Saccharomyces cerevisiae S288C: one gene and its partner. The protein of the gene in region 1 purifies or fractionates together with the protein of each later gene. This does not show direct contact. Each region holds a gene or a part of one and is shown on either strand. Other genes may lie near its edges.

Region 1 (3,757 bases):
GGAGACAATACTTTCATATGTAGACCAAGTGCTTGAGTAACCAGGTGCTTTAAGAGCACTTGGAACCGCGCTCTCTATAATCTCAATGTATTCACCGTCGTCGCTGAAGTTAGCCTGAGCCATTGATATCTCCATATTGTCCAGATCATATACCACGTAAGTATTAGCTAAGAAGTTATCACCCAAAATAATGGTCGGATCTGACTGCGGTGCAATACCTAGTATACAAATGTTTGAACGACTATCTGTGACTAGCTGAAAATCGCTTAACCAATTAGAAAGATAGAATCCACCAAAATCAAAGATGATGCTACTCTCTTCTTCCATCTCTTTGATACAATCCATTATGTAGTAACCATATGCAGAAGAGTAAGTAGCTCCGACCTGGTCGGCAAGCATTTTTACCAGCTCAGTTGGCATATACGATATGGTCGTACCTGAATCTAGCAGGACTGGGATCTTTGTAGTGGTTAGGGTTGTCAGATTGTCTTCTTTATCCCCTTTCGACGTACCTAATCCTTGTAAAGTGACTTGGAATTGAATTGGATCCTTGTAGCCGCGATGCTGCAAAGTATTAATGATGGGAATTGTGTATAGGTCGCCCGCATATTTTCCATGATCCACAGCGCCAAACAAAATGGTACCATGTTTCGAATCAGAATCATTTGCGAATAAAGAATAAGCTGTTGATTTTATTACACCCGAATTCTTTAGCACCATCGGAAAGTTATTGTAAGTGTAGCTTTTTTGTACAGAGCTGAGAGAAACACCAGAATAAGTTGACTCCAAGCCAGGCAAACCAATACCCAAGACACCAACTGTTGAGTTTGTTTCGTTTGCTACAGCAAATGATAAACCCGTAATGTTCAAATCGTTCAAGCTCAATTGATCATGGCCCCAGGTACCAGATGCAAAAGTCGTATCACCATAGGCGATCGAAAATTCTGTATTATTGGAGTTGAATGTAGACGACTTAGAGGTATTAAATGTCCCGTATGTAGCGCAGTCAATTAACTGTGATGTAGAAGCTGTACTATCAAAAGTAGCAGTGGCTTCGCTGGTAACTATAGTGGTGTCGTAGCTAATTTCAGTAAACACACTCTCAACCACGCTAGCCAAAGCATCCTTGTTTACTTGTTTAAAGGATGAGCCAGTGGTATCCTTCTTTTTAGTGGAACAGTATGGGTTGTCTGAACCCGTGACCCATAGATCAGAAGAACCAGTGTCGACAAGCACAGTAACTTTTTGAGGAGGGGTGCCAATATCTAATTCCACCGAATAAAAACTGTTTTGATTAGTCAGTTCCACCAGCTCGTAATCATCATCTCTTGTCATCAAACGCGTTCTACCTTTTGTATCATCCAAAGCGTTTTCAAATGAACTGCCGTATTTCTTCTGAAAATTCATTTTGACATAGACTTCATTACTTGGTAAGGATGGAAAATCTGTAACACCGGCATCTACTATTGAGCTGCAGACAAGTAATGCATCTACGACAAATGTGAGGACAGATAATTTCATAGAGCTCTTTCTTTTTCGTTTATTTTTGACGTATTTGCTCAAGCGAATAACGACAAAAGCTTGTTCTCTCGTTGATACTTTTAGCCAATTACAATTTCTTAGCAAGAACGAGTGACGCCAACCAAATTTCTCCCAAAAGTGATTATCTGAATAATGAAAGATGGTAGGAAATAAGGTATTGAAACAGGTTCAAAACTTTAAAAGAAAACTGCCAAATAAACTTTCTCGATGCGTAGCTGAAATTTCAACTTCAAAAAAAAAAAAACGCGTGTAACTTTCTACGTGCAAAACGATGTGTATGAATCCCGTCTTAATTAGTAAATAGGGTCTAGTAAGCGTAGCGAGGATGAATTAAATGCATTGTTGAATATGAAGAGCACCTTATGGTATATAAATGTACAATCTTGATTCATGACAGCTTTGCAAGTAAACGTATCAAATGAATATCACGATTTTGGCTGTATTACCCGGGCAGTATACGCGGCGAATTTTGTTAAAAAATGTGTTAGACTTAAGTCGGAGCAAATGAATAATGGGCATATATAGCGCATAGGTTCGCTAGTGTAAGACAGGAGACTGTCCAATAGCATTCGAATCATAACCGAATCTTTGCCAGTGTGTGTATAAAATACGACAATGTCTTCCAATCCAGAAAATTCTGGTGTTAATGCGAATAATAATACGGGCACTGGTAACGCTGATGCGATCACAGGAGCTCAGCAAAATATGGTACTGCAACCGAGACAGTTGCAAGAAATGGCCGCTAAGTTCAGGACATTACTGACTGAAGCAAGAAATGTAGGTGAAACTACTCCTAGGGGCAAGGAATTGATGTTCCAAGCCGCAAAGATCAAACAGGTATATGATGCCCTTACACTGAATAGGAGAAGACAACAGGCTGCGCAAGCCTACAATAATACTTCAAATTCAAATTCAAGCAATCCAGCTTCTATTCCTACTGAAAATGTCCCTAATTCATCACAGCAACAACAACAACAACAACAACAGACAAGAAACAACAGTAACAAATTTAGCAATATGATAAAACAGGTTCTCACCCCGGAAGAGAACCAAGAATATGAAAAGCTATGGCAGAATTTCCAAGTCCGTCATACGAGTATAAAGGAGAAAGAGACCTACTTGAAACAAAATATTGATAGGTTAGAACAAGAAATAAATAAACAGACGGACGAAGGGCCCAAGCAGCAGCTACAAGAAAAGAAAATTGAACTGCTTAACGATTGGAAGGTGCTAAAAATTGAGTATACCAAGCTGTTCAATAATTATCAAAACAGTAAAAAAACATTCTATGTAGAGTGTGCAAGACACAATCCGGCTTTACATAAATTCTTGCAAGAAAGCACTCAACAGCAACGAGTGCAGCAACAAAGGGTACAACAACAACAACAACAACAGCAGCAGCAGCAGCAACAGCAGCAACAGCAACAGCAACAGCAACAGCAACGCCAGGGTCAAAACCAAAGAAAGATTTCTAGTTCTAATTCTACTGAAATACCCTCTGTAACCGGCCCTGATGCACTGAAATCGCAGCAGCAGCAGCAGAATACAATAACTGCCACCAATAATCCCAGGGGCAATGTTAACACTTCACAGACTGAACAATCGAAAGCTAAGGTAACCAATGTAAATGCAACGGCATCTATGTTGAATAATATAAGTTCGAGCAAATCGGCAATATTCAAACAAACAGAGCCTGCCATACCCATATCGGAAAATATATCTACCAAAACACCAGCACCGGTAGCTTATAGATCCAACAGACCTACAATAACTGGAGGTTCTGCTATGAATGCCAGTGCTTTGAATACACCAGCAACAACTAAATTACCACCCTATGAAATGGATACTCAGAGAGTTATGTCAAAGCGTAAATTAAGAGAGTTAGTGAAGACTGTCGGAATTGATGAGGGTGACGGTGAAACTGTCATTGACGGTGATGTTGAGGAATTACTATTGGATCTTGCCGACGATTTTGTTACTAATGTTACAGCTTTTTCTTGTAGATTGGCAAAACACAGAAAATCGGACAATTTGGAGGCAAGAGACATTCAGTTACATTTGGAGAGAAATTGGAATATTAGGATTCCTGGTTATTCCGCAGACGAAATAAGAAGTACAAGAAAATGGAATCCCTCTCAAAATTATAACCAGAAATTGCAGAGTATCACATCAGATAAGGTAGCAGCTGCAAAAAACAATGGAAACAATGTTGCAA
Region 2 (3,757 bases), on another chromosome or scaffold:
TCTGAGCGTTTGTCCTTGATGTTGTTCGAGCTACCGTTCCTTGAAATGGGCAGGCTTAGTCCATTGTCCATGGCTTTCTTCTTTATATTTGACCTTAAATTAAAAAACATGCCCATTTTTTTGTGTTAATTGGTAGGTCAACAAGCTCAAATGACTGTTACTGCACCCTTACGTCTACTTCTTTCACGTTACCATTTACTAATTTACAAGACGTAAACTTTCTTTGATTCTAAATATTTCAAGCCTTGTTTCGGTATAGTCGCCGAAGAACGAAAAAAAAAAAAAAAAAAAATTCCTCTCCGGAGATAAATTGAATACGTATTATTATATTAGGGACAAACACTGGTTCACTGAAAGCAGTTGTTTACATAGTTATATCGTGATCTGTGGCTATATCTGCAGGAGGAGATGTCGGGGCGTTTTCATTAGGCGTCGAATGAGGAGAGTGACTTGTAGTAGCATCGATATTGGTTGTGTTATGTGCTACAGGTGTAGTATTTGTAGTATCTTGCGCTGTCATTGTTGGCGGTTCCGATTCCGCGACCAGGTTCTCCGCAGGCATACTCGACATTTCATTCTCATCTTCACTGCTCCCTAAGATGCCAAATAAGTTTATGTCATCGTCCTCATCCTCGGCGTTTGTGTTGATAACTATGGTAGAGTTGTTTAATGCATTAGGGGTGGTCGTGTCGTCTGCAGCGTCCCTTGCGTGCTCGTTATTTAGTAGAAGCTCAAGATCATGGCCTTCATCTTGTTCCCTCTTTGTTCGTTGTGAAATAAGCTCTTCTTGCCGACGTTTTAGCGATTTTGCTCTTTCTTCCTTGGCCATTCGTATTTTTTCCTTCTTCAACTTCTGGACCTTAGGTAAATTGTGCATGAATAGTGTCATAGACTTACGAAATTGCAATTCTATGGTTTTTTGTATGGTTTTGTGAGACTGGTGAGGACTCTCTGGAAGGTAGAGAGTTTCAGAAATTTTCAAGAATGGATTTTTTGTTCTTTTCAACTGATTCACTTCAAATTTCGTGACACGTTCTCTCGCCAATTCCACTCTATACTTCGCATACTGCTCGATATTGTTTTCATTGAAGGACTTTTCAGTTATGGTTGGTTTCCTTTCTTCCAGCGCGTTGCCCCAAATCTCCAATTGTTGCTCGATAGCGTCCTCATCGTCTAAACCCGGCGGTTGCGGGGTATTTGACGCTGATGATATGTGGGAGAGACTTTTGTTCAAGTTCAATAGTGCCTTTTCAGACTCTTGGCTTTCTTTTACTATTTCTTTCTTGATGGTTTTTAGATCAGTAATTGGATGGTTGAACTCAGGTGTAAACTTATAGGTATGGTCAGGCGGAAAGTTGGGCAGCCAACTCGGTATCTGTTTTTCCAGTGGGTTAGAGGGAGGCAGCAAAACGTTGATCTCGTTCTGTTGCTCCTCGATATTATTCAATTCGTCCTCTTCATCTTCTTCGTTATGCGGTAAAGCAGCAAGAGACGACCAGCTCATCAATTTTTCATATTCCGTGGAATGCTTCGATTTGATGAATTCTGAGGCCTGAAACTGCTGATAAAGGGAGGGCGCATCCAGGTTAAACTCTCGAAGCAACAATTTCAAATCTGCTTGAGAAGCTTGCGACCTTCTTTGTAAAAGTGTTAAATTGTGCAGGTTCCGAAACATGCCGTCCATTTGGACGGTCACGAGGTTGACCAGCTCATCCAATGCAAAGTTTGAAATGCAGATGTTCAACGAATTCAACTGGAAAAGTACTGTTTTCTTTAGAATTTCAACTACGGGAGCATCTATTTCCAAGTGACTAATTTCCGTCAAATCCGGTAGGTTCCTCAGCTGAACTATGGTACTTTGGGTACCGGTACCACTTTCTGACGTTTTGGAAGTCATTGCCCTTTATGAGTCCCTCAATTACACGTTTGTTTGCTTGCTTGCCTCTCTCTCCATTGCTTTTACTCTCTTTTTTAAAGAGTTCAAGATTTTCTACATAAAAGCATCGGGTAACACTCCCATATACACCATTTGTGCTTAAGCTGGCTTCTACCAGTCGCGTTTCAAGCGACTTTATTGATCGCATCAGCGTAGAACAAGAACAGAACTATGTATGCAAACAGGACTAATCATCTTCAGTTATCTTACTTTAGTTTGCAACTATTTATATCATGTTTTCTTTTCAACTTCTTTTTTTTTTTTTCGTTTATGAAGCCGATGCTAATGCATCAATTTTTTTTTTTTGGTGATGAGTTTTGAAAGAAAATGAAAAAAAAAAAATTTCTATTATTGTCAGTGGAGTTTTTGAACAGATCACCTTGTGAATCTACAAACTGTCCTAAAGTATATTGGAGCAGGACATTGGGTGATGGCGAAAACTTTGGCACAAGGAAGGAAACCTGGAAGCGGCAGAAAGCCCGGAAAAGGGAAGACGTTGAGAGAGGGAAGAAAGCCTGGCAGTGGTAGGAGGAGGAGGCAAGATACTGGGGGTAAAGAGACCGACGGGTCTCAGCAAGATCAGGAGTCGCGTCTTATTAGTTCCAGGGACATGGAAGCTGTGGACGCACTGAGAGAGTTGACGCACAGCCCGTCGTCTCACTCAGCTCATAATTCATCAGCAGCACCACCGCCGCATGCAGCAGCGGCGTCAACTTCATTGCCTCCATCTCTGGATTATACCCATCAGTCATTCATGGATCAACAACAACAACAGCAGCAGCAGCAGCAGCAACAACTACTACAGCAACAGAGAGTGGACGTCGTTCCGCCCAAGCCGTTCATCACCCACAAGATCCTGTTATCTTCAACGGGAAACTCTGGCGGCCACGTGAATTCAAATTACAACGCCGACCACAGCATTAATCATAATTCAAACCACAACCTTAACAGCAACGTGAACGTGAACATGAACTTTACTATAAATGGGAGCAATCAAGACCCGTCATCTTCTTTCCTGATGGGGCCCTACAACTACTTACAGCGGCCTTTCATTGTGAAACCATATCTTGATCTGTCCACAAGCACAGCAGCATCAAATCAGCCACGGACGCAACCATCGCCGGCAGCACATATCACTAAGAATTCCGATTCTACAGAGAAAAACGCAACCATATGACATTCATTTCCAGCATACCACTAAAACATTCGTATATGCCACATAATAACTAGTTGAGAAAACCATAGATATTTATATTTATATGTATTTGTACTTCTTTGAGCAATGTATATTTAAGACTGATCTCAACTTCAGCAACTGTTCAAATTCACTGTTTTTCCTAATTAAGCACAACATGAAAAACTAGAATTTTAGAAAGAAAAGGAAAAAGAATACCAGATGGTAGTTAATTTCTCACAAAAGCACTGCCAGGTAAAGGTATACAGCAAGGATGGACTCTCTTGAAGCTAGATTACAATTCATTCAGGTCCTGAAGAACCTGCAAAAGACGCTGCACAAGACCAGAGACTCTATCACATCATCGTCGACCACCACACCACCGTCATCGCAACAAAAGCTGAACAATGACCCTATACAGTTCTACTTGAGAAACTACAGACATCACTACGAGGACTTCCACCAATGTTTGTTCGATACAACCATGAAGATGGACCCACTAGATAGACTGGACGTAGTGATATACTATGTTAGAATAATAAGAAACTTATATCCGCATAGCCATTCCAATACCAATGTTACAAAAGTGTTAAACGAAGTGCTACTCATGGACATAGACTTGGTTTTTGAGCTTTGTCTGCCCTGCC

Evidence for each region.
Region 2: the proteins of TAF12 (region 1) and TAF8 purify together in Saccharomyces cerevisiae (affinity purification with mass spectrometry; 5 studies listed by BioGRID, with this or other methods). This does not show direct contact.

Annotation. Positions count from the first base shown.
Region 1 is NC_001136.10:744,581-748,337, forward strand, and holds the start of TAF12 (Taf12p), read left to right. Parts: upstream 1-2,157; coding exon 2,158-3,757. Other genes in the region: MKC7 (aspartyl protease), read right to left, coding at 1-1,521. UniProt on the Saccharomyces cerevisiae protein: Functions as a component of both the DNA-binding general transcription initiation factor complex TFIID and the transcription coactivator SAGA complex.
Region 2 is NC_001145.3:41,679-45,435, forward strand, and holds TAF8 (Taf8p), read right to left. Parts: upstream 1,898-3,757; coding exon 365-1,897; downstream 1-364. Other genes in the region: VAN1 (Van1p), read right to left, coding at 1-116; DAT1 (Dat1p), read left to right, coding at 2,367-3,113; CTK3 (Ctk3p), read left to right, coding at 3,385-3,757. UniProt on the Saccharomyces cerevisiae protein: Functions as a component of the DNA-binding general transcription factor complex TFIID. Binding of TFIID to a promoter (with or without TATA element) is the initial step in pre-initiation complex (PIC) formation.